Linked DNA regions of Danio rerio. The protein of the gene in region 1 interacts with the protein of each later gene in a biochemical or structural test. Links are inferred from orthologs where the notes say so. Each region holds a gene or a part of one and is shown on either strand. Other genes may lie near its edges.

Region 1 (3,831 bases):
AGAGAAGAACCCCATCATTTTTTGTGCAAATTATATTGTTTTACACACACGCGCATTTAAAACAAATATTAGTTTTAGTAAAATCATGCTCTCCTTTTCCATATTAACTGAAATATATGTAAATTACACATACAGGGCCTGTGTTTCCTTTACAAATATTATTGAGAATATTACATATTAACATAAAATCACTTACAGAAGCTAACACGTATTCTAATATCATATATAAATCATATAATTCATTAAAAACTGAGGCTATTTATTAAAAATGAAATTTCATTCATTCATTTTCTTTTTGGCTTAATATTCCTTTATTAATCCGGGATCGCCACAGCAGAATGAACCATCAAAAATGAAATTTGATATTTATCATAAGAAATTTAAAAAATCCTGATGAAAAAAATAATGATGATAATGATGATGATGATGATGATGATAATAATAATAATAATACATAGAGTACAGATACTTAATAAATGACCCACTATAAATGAAAAGCATTAACGTATGCTATGTTTTTTTGTTTTCACAAGCTTTAGAGACCTAACAAATTCCACTTTTAAATAATAAGTCACCTATAGCTTTTGTTGTGAGGCTGTGTTCCAAATAACATCAATGTTTTCAAAGTGCAGTGCGAAGGGAGCACAACTGTAAACATGAAGATCTCTAAAACTGAACTGTAAAAATACTTTAAAAGTAAATTACACCTAAAAGAGATGACTTTGAATGCATTTTTATTTGAATCATTCCAAGTTTAAATGTTAGAATGTTCTAAATTAATAGGGCACAGGGGGGATAAGTGGGAATAAAACACAGTTATATACATTAAATAAAATAATTAAAATAATGTAATAATAATTACATAATTAATAAATATAATAACATGATTACAATGTATGAAATGTAAAAAAATAATCAAAAATTGTATTAAAATAAATAAATAAATAATAATAAATGCAAAAAATTAAAGAAATGAAATTGAAACAATAAATTAATCTGCAAATAAATTCTTTTTTTTTTTAAAAAAGCCAGTACTACGAGTAAAAATATTTAATAGACTTAATCCCCAAATATTTTTTTAAAAGTCTTTTACATTTAAGGATAAAGGGTCCCTCAATCAAAGTTAATCATATTTGAATGTTCATTACTTCTGAAAGATTTTGTGAAAGTGCATCTGTACCTGTTCTTTGTCTTTTGCTCCGTCCGCTTCTGTCTCTGCTGTTACTTTTTCCTGCAGTTCTTTGGGCTGTCCTTCTTTCCACTCTTTCCATCGCTGAAGCAGCTGCTCTGGAGCCCCTGCTAGCTGCTGATTGGCACTGGTCAAGGTAACCCGGGCACTTTCCAGCAGGTCCATAGTGCTGGTCATTTGAGTCACAGACGCATGTGTAGTGTCTCTGGCCTTGCGGGCCCTAAGGAGGGACTGCTCAAGCGCCCTCTCTCGAACTTTGGCAGACAGTTTACCCAGACGGACAAAGTAGCTGGAACGAGTGGACACTATGAATCCTTCCTCCTCCCCTGGCCTTGGCTCAGCAAGCGTAGCTGTTGGAGGAACACACAGCATTGGTATTGGTATCACTTTAAATGTATATACAGTGTGTGAATTATACATAGACGAAAAGTCAACTTTTTTGTAATGTTGGTCTGTAATGTAATACATGCTTCAGTGAATAAAAAGTATGTATTTATTTAAATGACATTTAATATAGCACAATCGCCTCACAGCAAGAAGGTCACTGGTTTAAGCTCGGCTGGGTCAGTTGGCATTTCTGTGTGGCATGTTCTCTCCATGTTCGCGTGGGTTTCCTCCGGGTTCCCCCCACAGTCCAAAGAAGTTATACAGGTGAATTGAATAAGCTAAATTGGCCATAGTGTATGGAAGTGTGTGCAAAAGTGTATGGGTGTTTCTCAGTGTTGTTTTGCAGCTGGAAGGGCATCCGCTGCGTAAAACGTGTACTGGATAAGTTGGCTGTTCATTTCGCTGTGGTAACCCCAGATTAATAAAGAGACTAAGCCGAAAAAAGAAATGAATGAATGAATAATTAAATCAATTATATGTAGGTATTTAGATATTGAGTGTATTTTGACCAACAGTATTTCAAACGTTACTGTAGGCACTGTTAAACTTTACTAACTATACATCAAATGTGACTTTATTTTTGGGCTTTATGGAGAAACAAGCACACATTTTATGACAAAACATTGGTGTCTTGTGAACACCAGTGCTGTAGCCAGTTTCAGGCTGTTGAATGAATGTTTTGACGCATAGATTGATTGGCGTGATTATGCATACTCAGTGGGATGAACCGTTATAACGGTGGCCAAATGTATATTCATGTTATCTATTAATTTAATTATTAACATTATTATTTAAAATATAGTTTAGAGCAAAATTTTTCTCAATATTAAGGGGCTTACCCCCAGTACATCTTGTTTTAATGTCTTTACGGGAAATCAGGTGTTAATTAGGGGGGTCAGACCCCCACCCCCCCAAATCCTCCTGTAATTAGCACCCTGTGTTTATATTGATCTGTTAATGTTTTTCTCAAAAATGTCTCATGCACCAAGCATGCCTATATTTGATTAAATCAAAAATTGTGAATTTAATGCATTTAAATGTAATTTCAAGAGTTCACACTAAGCTGATGATAGATTATAAAGCTTGTTTGGCATGCTGTGCCGGGAGAGAGCCCTGAGCTCATAAGATCCTTGAGCCCGGGGCTCCCTCCGGTTTGCAAGGCGAGAGGTGAGTTTAAGCTCAGGTAGATCTCGAGAACTCCCCTGCTGTAGTAGCTAATGAACAGAGAGTGATTGCTGTTAAGAGATAACTACTTACTAGCAGCATGTCTATGGTGCTGATTTGGATTGGTCAATTAACTGAAGTTGCATGTTTTTGGACAATGGAAGGAAACAGGGGAACCCGGGGGAAACCCACTTGAGCACTGGGAGAACGTTTAAACTCTGCATAGAAACGTTGGCTGGTTTAGTAAGGACTAAAACCAGTGACGTTCTTGCTGTGAAGCAACAGTACTAACCACTGGGTCACCATGCCACCCATCTAGGAAAGGAGGAGGAGTGGGGGTGAAAGGGAGGATTCTTTAAAATGAAGATGGCTGTCATAGGGAACTTAGGGTGATTATAGTGGCTTAGGAATCGTCTGATTGGTGAATCATAAATTGAATAATGTGGGACCAGCTGCAAGCAATCATAAGCATGTGATCCTCTCGAAATTAGTTTATAAATAAACTTCACTTATTTCTGTGATGGCATGATTTTCACCATCATTATGACAGTCTTCAGCCTCACATGTTCAATATTATAAGTTTACACCAACTGTGATGTAATGTTATCATTTTTTCCAGGATACTTTAACAAATGAAAAGACAAAAGACAGCATTTATTGTTATTTAATTATGTTATAAATAATATAACTGTAAAGTCCCACCTTTGATTAATACATGCTTGCTGAACAAAATTATTAATGGAAAAAAAATGTATTGTACAGTTATTTTTTCTGTTTTAAACACTGTAATATACAACTTAGCATGTATTAAATTGCATTTCTGGAAAATAAGATTATACTTGAAACTGAGGTGTTGATTCATTAAAAACTAAAAGGTCTTTCTAAAAAATGTGCTCTTTCATTACAATAATGTATATATAAACACGTTCAGTTTCATTTTTTTCATATGATTTAACCTTGAACTTACATATTTTCTTTCATTTTCGAAGACATTTCATTATCTTAGAATTATAAGGTTCTATCTGACATTTTTGTCCAAATTATTGACATTCTTATTAAATGACAACTTATTTACATTATAGGATGTTTTT
Region 2 (4,339 bases), on another chromosome or scaffold:
TATGCGCCAATCTTGATTCTTAATGGCCCATTTTGATTAGCACACGTATATCTCGGAGATGTCTATTTGACGTCTGCATTCACATCTGCAAGACATCTACAAGACGTTTCCTATCAGATGTGAAATAGACTTCTATTAGACATTTTTAAGATGTTTGTGATTCAGAATGTGTGTAAAACTGACATCATACAGACGTCTGCCAGACGTTTGTATACAGCAGGTGCTTTCCAGATCAAGAGATCTTTAACAGACATCTTGCAGACGTATACAGACACAAAATATCTAATACAATGGCATTTCAACCTTTATACCATTAAAATGGATAAATCAAGTATATAATTTCTTATATTAGTATTACTTAATTGTTTAGATTTTTAAAAGGCACATTAACTTCTTTCACATTTACACATGGATCGATAATTGCAATAATTTGACCATAAACAGCTGAAAAAATTTATTGGAAATAAAAATTCATTCTGTCACAAGGGGGCGCTTTAGGAGCGCTGAAATATTACGGTTTCCCTAGTAATGACTGTACACAAATCAGTATTATATGCGACCAAAATGGTCGTAATTTCGAGCCCTGCATTAGCAGCAGCTGTCTGGAGTTGACTATGTTAACTTTAATTAGATGTAGTTTCATAACAAGCAAACTCAGTTCACCTTTTGAAAAGAAAGCAGTCATCAGCTGCTTCCCCTCATTCTGCCCCCTTTCTTTTTCCTTCCTTTCTTTCTTTTTTTGAAATCCCGATTTGGGCTTTTTGCGCAGCATGATCAGGCTCTAGACTCACTGCGTAACTTTTGCCGCCGGCTGCCGTCTATGGGCGGACTAAACCATTTCGGGTGGGGGGGTGTTATCAATATATTTTGAAATATATGATGACATTGACATCAATTAGAGGGGCCAATTAATTCGAAGTAGGCTACAAAAAAAAAAAAAATAATAAAAAATTGGTGGGATTTCAAAGGGCCCTCTCCCTAGACGGGGACTTGGGTAGTCAGGTCCACTCCCCCCCTCCCCCCACTACCACGCCCATGACTGTAGGCAATGTGTGTGAATAACTGTATGGGTGTTTCCCAGTGATGGGTTGCAGCTGGAAGGGCATCCGCTGCATAAAACATATGCTGGATAAGTTTGCGGTTCCTACTACTATGGTGATCCCAGCTTAATAAAGGGACTAAGCCAAAAAGAAAATGAATAAATGAATGTTTGACTCAATTGACTGAAGGAGTGTAATTTAAATTGCCTGTGCATTAAAAGCTTTCATTACGGTAATTAAATAACTTATTGAGTAAATTAATTGCTTTCCAGAACTAGTAATTAGAAAAGTACATTATTTGAAAACAATTCAATAATATAGTTAGTCATTACTTACTTTTTTTTTGAAGTAATTTACTCAACGTTGCTCGCAAGGGGGGTAGAACTCGTGTTATTGCCTGACCAGCACTCAATTTCCCATGTTCACGTGCAGCAAACCAACTTCCGCCTCATGCACAGTCACATGTGCATGTTTAGTTTCACTTCCGCGTTTAAGAAGAAACCATTAAATTCTGTTATCGTGCAATTGTTTTAGAGTGAATATTCATAAGTTTGTTTATTTGGTTTGTAAAAGTTGACAGCAGAAGATATTTTGACGTAATGCCGATTAGTCTAGTTTAAAGACGGTAAGTTAGTGCGATAGTTTTGAAATAGGAAGATCTCCAGGCTGGGAAGACAAATCTAACGTTAACGTTATACAAGTTAAGACCTTCACTTTCCTTCATTCAAAACGGTAATAGGACTTATTATATGTGTGTTTGTGTTTAATTATAGCTAAACTACTTTCGCAAAAACACAAATTACTGGTTTCCTAACTAAAGTGCTTCATTGTCATTTGCTTCATTGCTTTAATTTATTGCAACTTTTATTGCCTTTTTGCTAACATTGTTAGTATCACAACGTTACCAGTACGGCGTTGCTCTGTTGCCATTACAGTAAGGCATTTGTAGTTATGCAAGAATCTGTAAACATGCCCAGTTAAGGCAATTTCACTTGATCAAACTAATTTCACGGTATAACACGTGGAACACGCATGATACGAACCAAATTTAAGATGTAACGTTATGCAATTTAAATACTATAAATTGAAATGCGCAAGATATGAGACATGACTGAATTTACTATATTAAAGTACACAGTTTGTGTACAGTGTGACTCAAATGATCACTTACCAAAGAAATACTGTGCATTTACAGTACTATTTAATGTGATCCCCTTTTTCCATCAGGTGTGTTCTCTAAGTCATGTTGCTGTCTGTGAGAATAATCACTCCACTTTTCGTACTATTTGCTGGAGTGCAAGCTAGGTTCAACACGAGCAACTGCAAGCTTGTGTCAGACAGTGAATCTCAGAGAAAAGCACTCCGTTTACTCGAGCCTCTCACCAATCAAAAGTAAGCCTGATTTTTGTGAATTAAGCCCACATTAAAGTTAGCAGTTTACTGCAACAACTACCTAACTAGTTTTTAACTTTTTTGTATATTCTCTGAACAGCTTTACCACAGAGGGACAGGAGAAAGAAAAATATTCATACATTTTTCAGGTGTGTGGTGATGCTGGCGGAGTAAAGAATGCAGGTCTTATTCAGCAAGAAAAAGGTGGAAAGACGATTCGAATTGGGGACTACAGTAAAACAGTTGCCACTGCAGGAAGTATGTTATACTTCTAGTCTTTCAGAACAAAAAAATCTTTGTTTTTTTGCTTTCATCATAAACATTCTTAAAATAAATTATAGCTGATAAAATGATAAGTTAATTTATTATAGTAGATTTAATCAGTTCTTCTTTATAATAATGACTGCTGAAAGATTCTTCTGTGGCTTACATGATTTTTCTTACATTATTTACATAGTAGGAGTTGGAATAGAATATTGCAGTACACAAATGTTTCTTTATATTACAGAAGCTGTTGCATTTGCACAGGGTGCATTGTTAACAGATTGTTGACCTAAGTTCACCTATTTGGTTTTATGATACAGGTGACTGGGTTCTGCTCATCTATGAGGGTGGGGAAAAATATGACAGCCATTGTTCCAGTGAGGAGAGAAAAGCCATGATTATGATTTCATGCAGCTCAAGTTCTAAGGTACAAACTTTTTAAGTTTTTAAATGGTACAGATTGAATGCTGAAATGCAGTTAAATGCTTGCTGGAATATGTAAGGCTGGACCAGAATATTACATTTTTCCAATGTTCATTTTGTAAGTTGACATTCGATTTTCAATTTTGAGATTTGAATATTCTTTTACTTAATTCTTTTGGAATACCTGGCATCCCCTGCAGAATGGATTAAATTACATGCACTTAAAAACACACATAAAAGACACAAATAAAGAATATACCAGTGGTGTGGGTCCACACTTCCATAGTAAAAGCCCTAAACTGTTATTAGCAGCCAAATACCTCCTTTGCTTTTCAGTCGGAGGGCTCAATAACAGCACGATAAGCACATTTTCTCAAAAGCTGGAAACATTAGTTATGTTTCCATCCAGAAATGCAAATGAACTTAATGCGCAAAACTGGATTTTTGCATAAAAGACATATAAATAAAGCAGCGTTTCCATCCAACTAGTCAAAGCGAACAAAATCATCACTTCCTGATTGACTGGTGCCAAATTTTAACTGTAAAAATGGAATTTGTAGCAGTAGAAGAAGCTGCGTCAATCTTTTCTTTATCTAAAAAATAATTTGCAACTCGAAGGCAATCCTGACAAGCAGTGAACACGTGGTTGCGTTTGAAGGTATCAGACGCGGAGCACAGACGCTCTTGATTCTGGAGGTCATTAATAATATAATAACACTAATGATAAATTGTAAGGAATTTTCAAATGACCAAATTAACATTTCAGATGTTTTACAGTGTGCTCAGCCTGCTGGGTTGTCCATTCACACACATTTTCATCATCACATGATCTCTTATCACAATATCCCATGGCCTTTTTTAATGCGCATACTGAAATTTGTGTGGTAAAAGTGTTTCCATTGTAGTTTATGTGCATTTTTTCTTACCGATTAAAAAGTTTATCCTATTAAGTTATGCGCATAAGTTTTTTTATGCGCATTTTCAAAATGTATGCCCATCAGGGTGTTTTTATCAGCCTTTTTTTCCATTGAGCAGCCCTACTATTATACATGTATTTTTAAGTACCAAAAAAAAAATCAAAACATGCTTAAAATTCCAACATAATAGTAAAAATAATTAAAATAAATAACTTTAAATAATTATTTAAATTTTGCTCACTCGCGCAATGTGCTTGTCCAACGTGTCGTAAGGGCAAAATCAAAACAAAAATGGCAGAGAAA

The links.
Region 2: the proteins of plin3 (region 1) and m6pr form a complex in vitro, tested with the Homo sapiens proteins (2 studies listed by BioGRID). The link is inferred for Danio rerio from reciprocal best matches to the Homo sapiens genes PLIN3 and M6PR.

The regions. Positions count from the first base shown.
Region 1 is NC_133183.1:21,143,236-21,147,066, forward strand, and holds part of plin3 (mannose-6-phosphate receptor binding protein 1), read right to left. Parts: exon of another isoform or gene 3,029-3,831; intron 1,734-3,028; exon of another isoform or gene 1,540-1,733; coding exon 1,181-1,539; intron 1-1,180. UniProt on the Homo sapiens protein: Structural component of lipid droplets, which is required for the formation and maintenance of lipid storage droplets. Required for the transport of mannose 6-phosphate receptors (MPR) from endosomes to the trans-Golgi network.
Region 2 is NC_133191.1:17,663,833-17,668,171, reverse strand, and holds the start of m6pr (cation-dependent mannose-6-phosphate receptor precursor), read left to right. Parts: upstream 1-1,537; 5' UTR 1,538-1,772; intron 1,773-2,267; 5' UTR 2,268-2,283; coding exon 2,284-2,432; intron 2,433-2,532; coding exon 2,533-2,690; intron 2,691-3,016; coding exon 3,017-3,123; intron 3,124-4,339. UniProt on the Homo sapiens protein: Transport of phosphorylated lysosomal enzymes from the Golgi complex and the cell surface to lysosomes.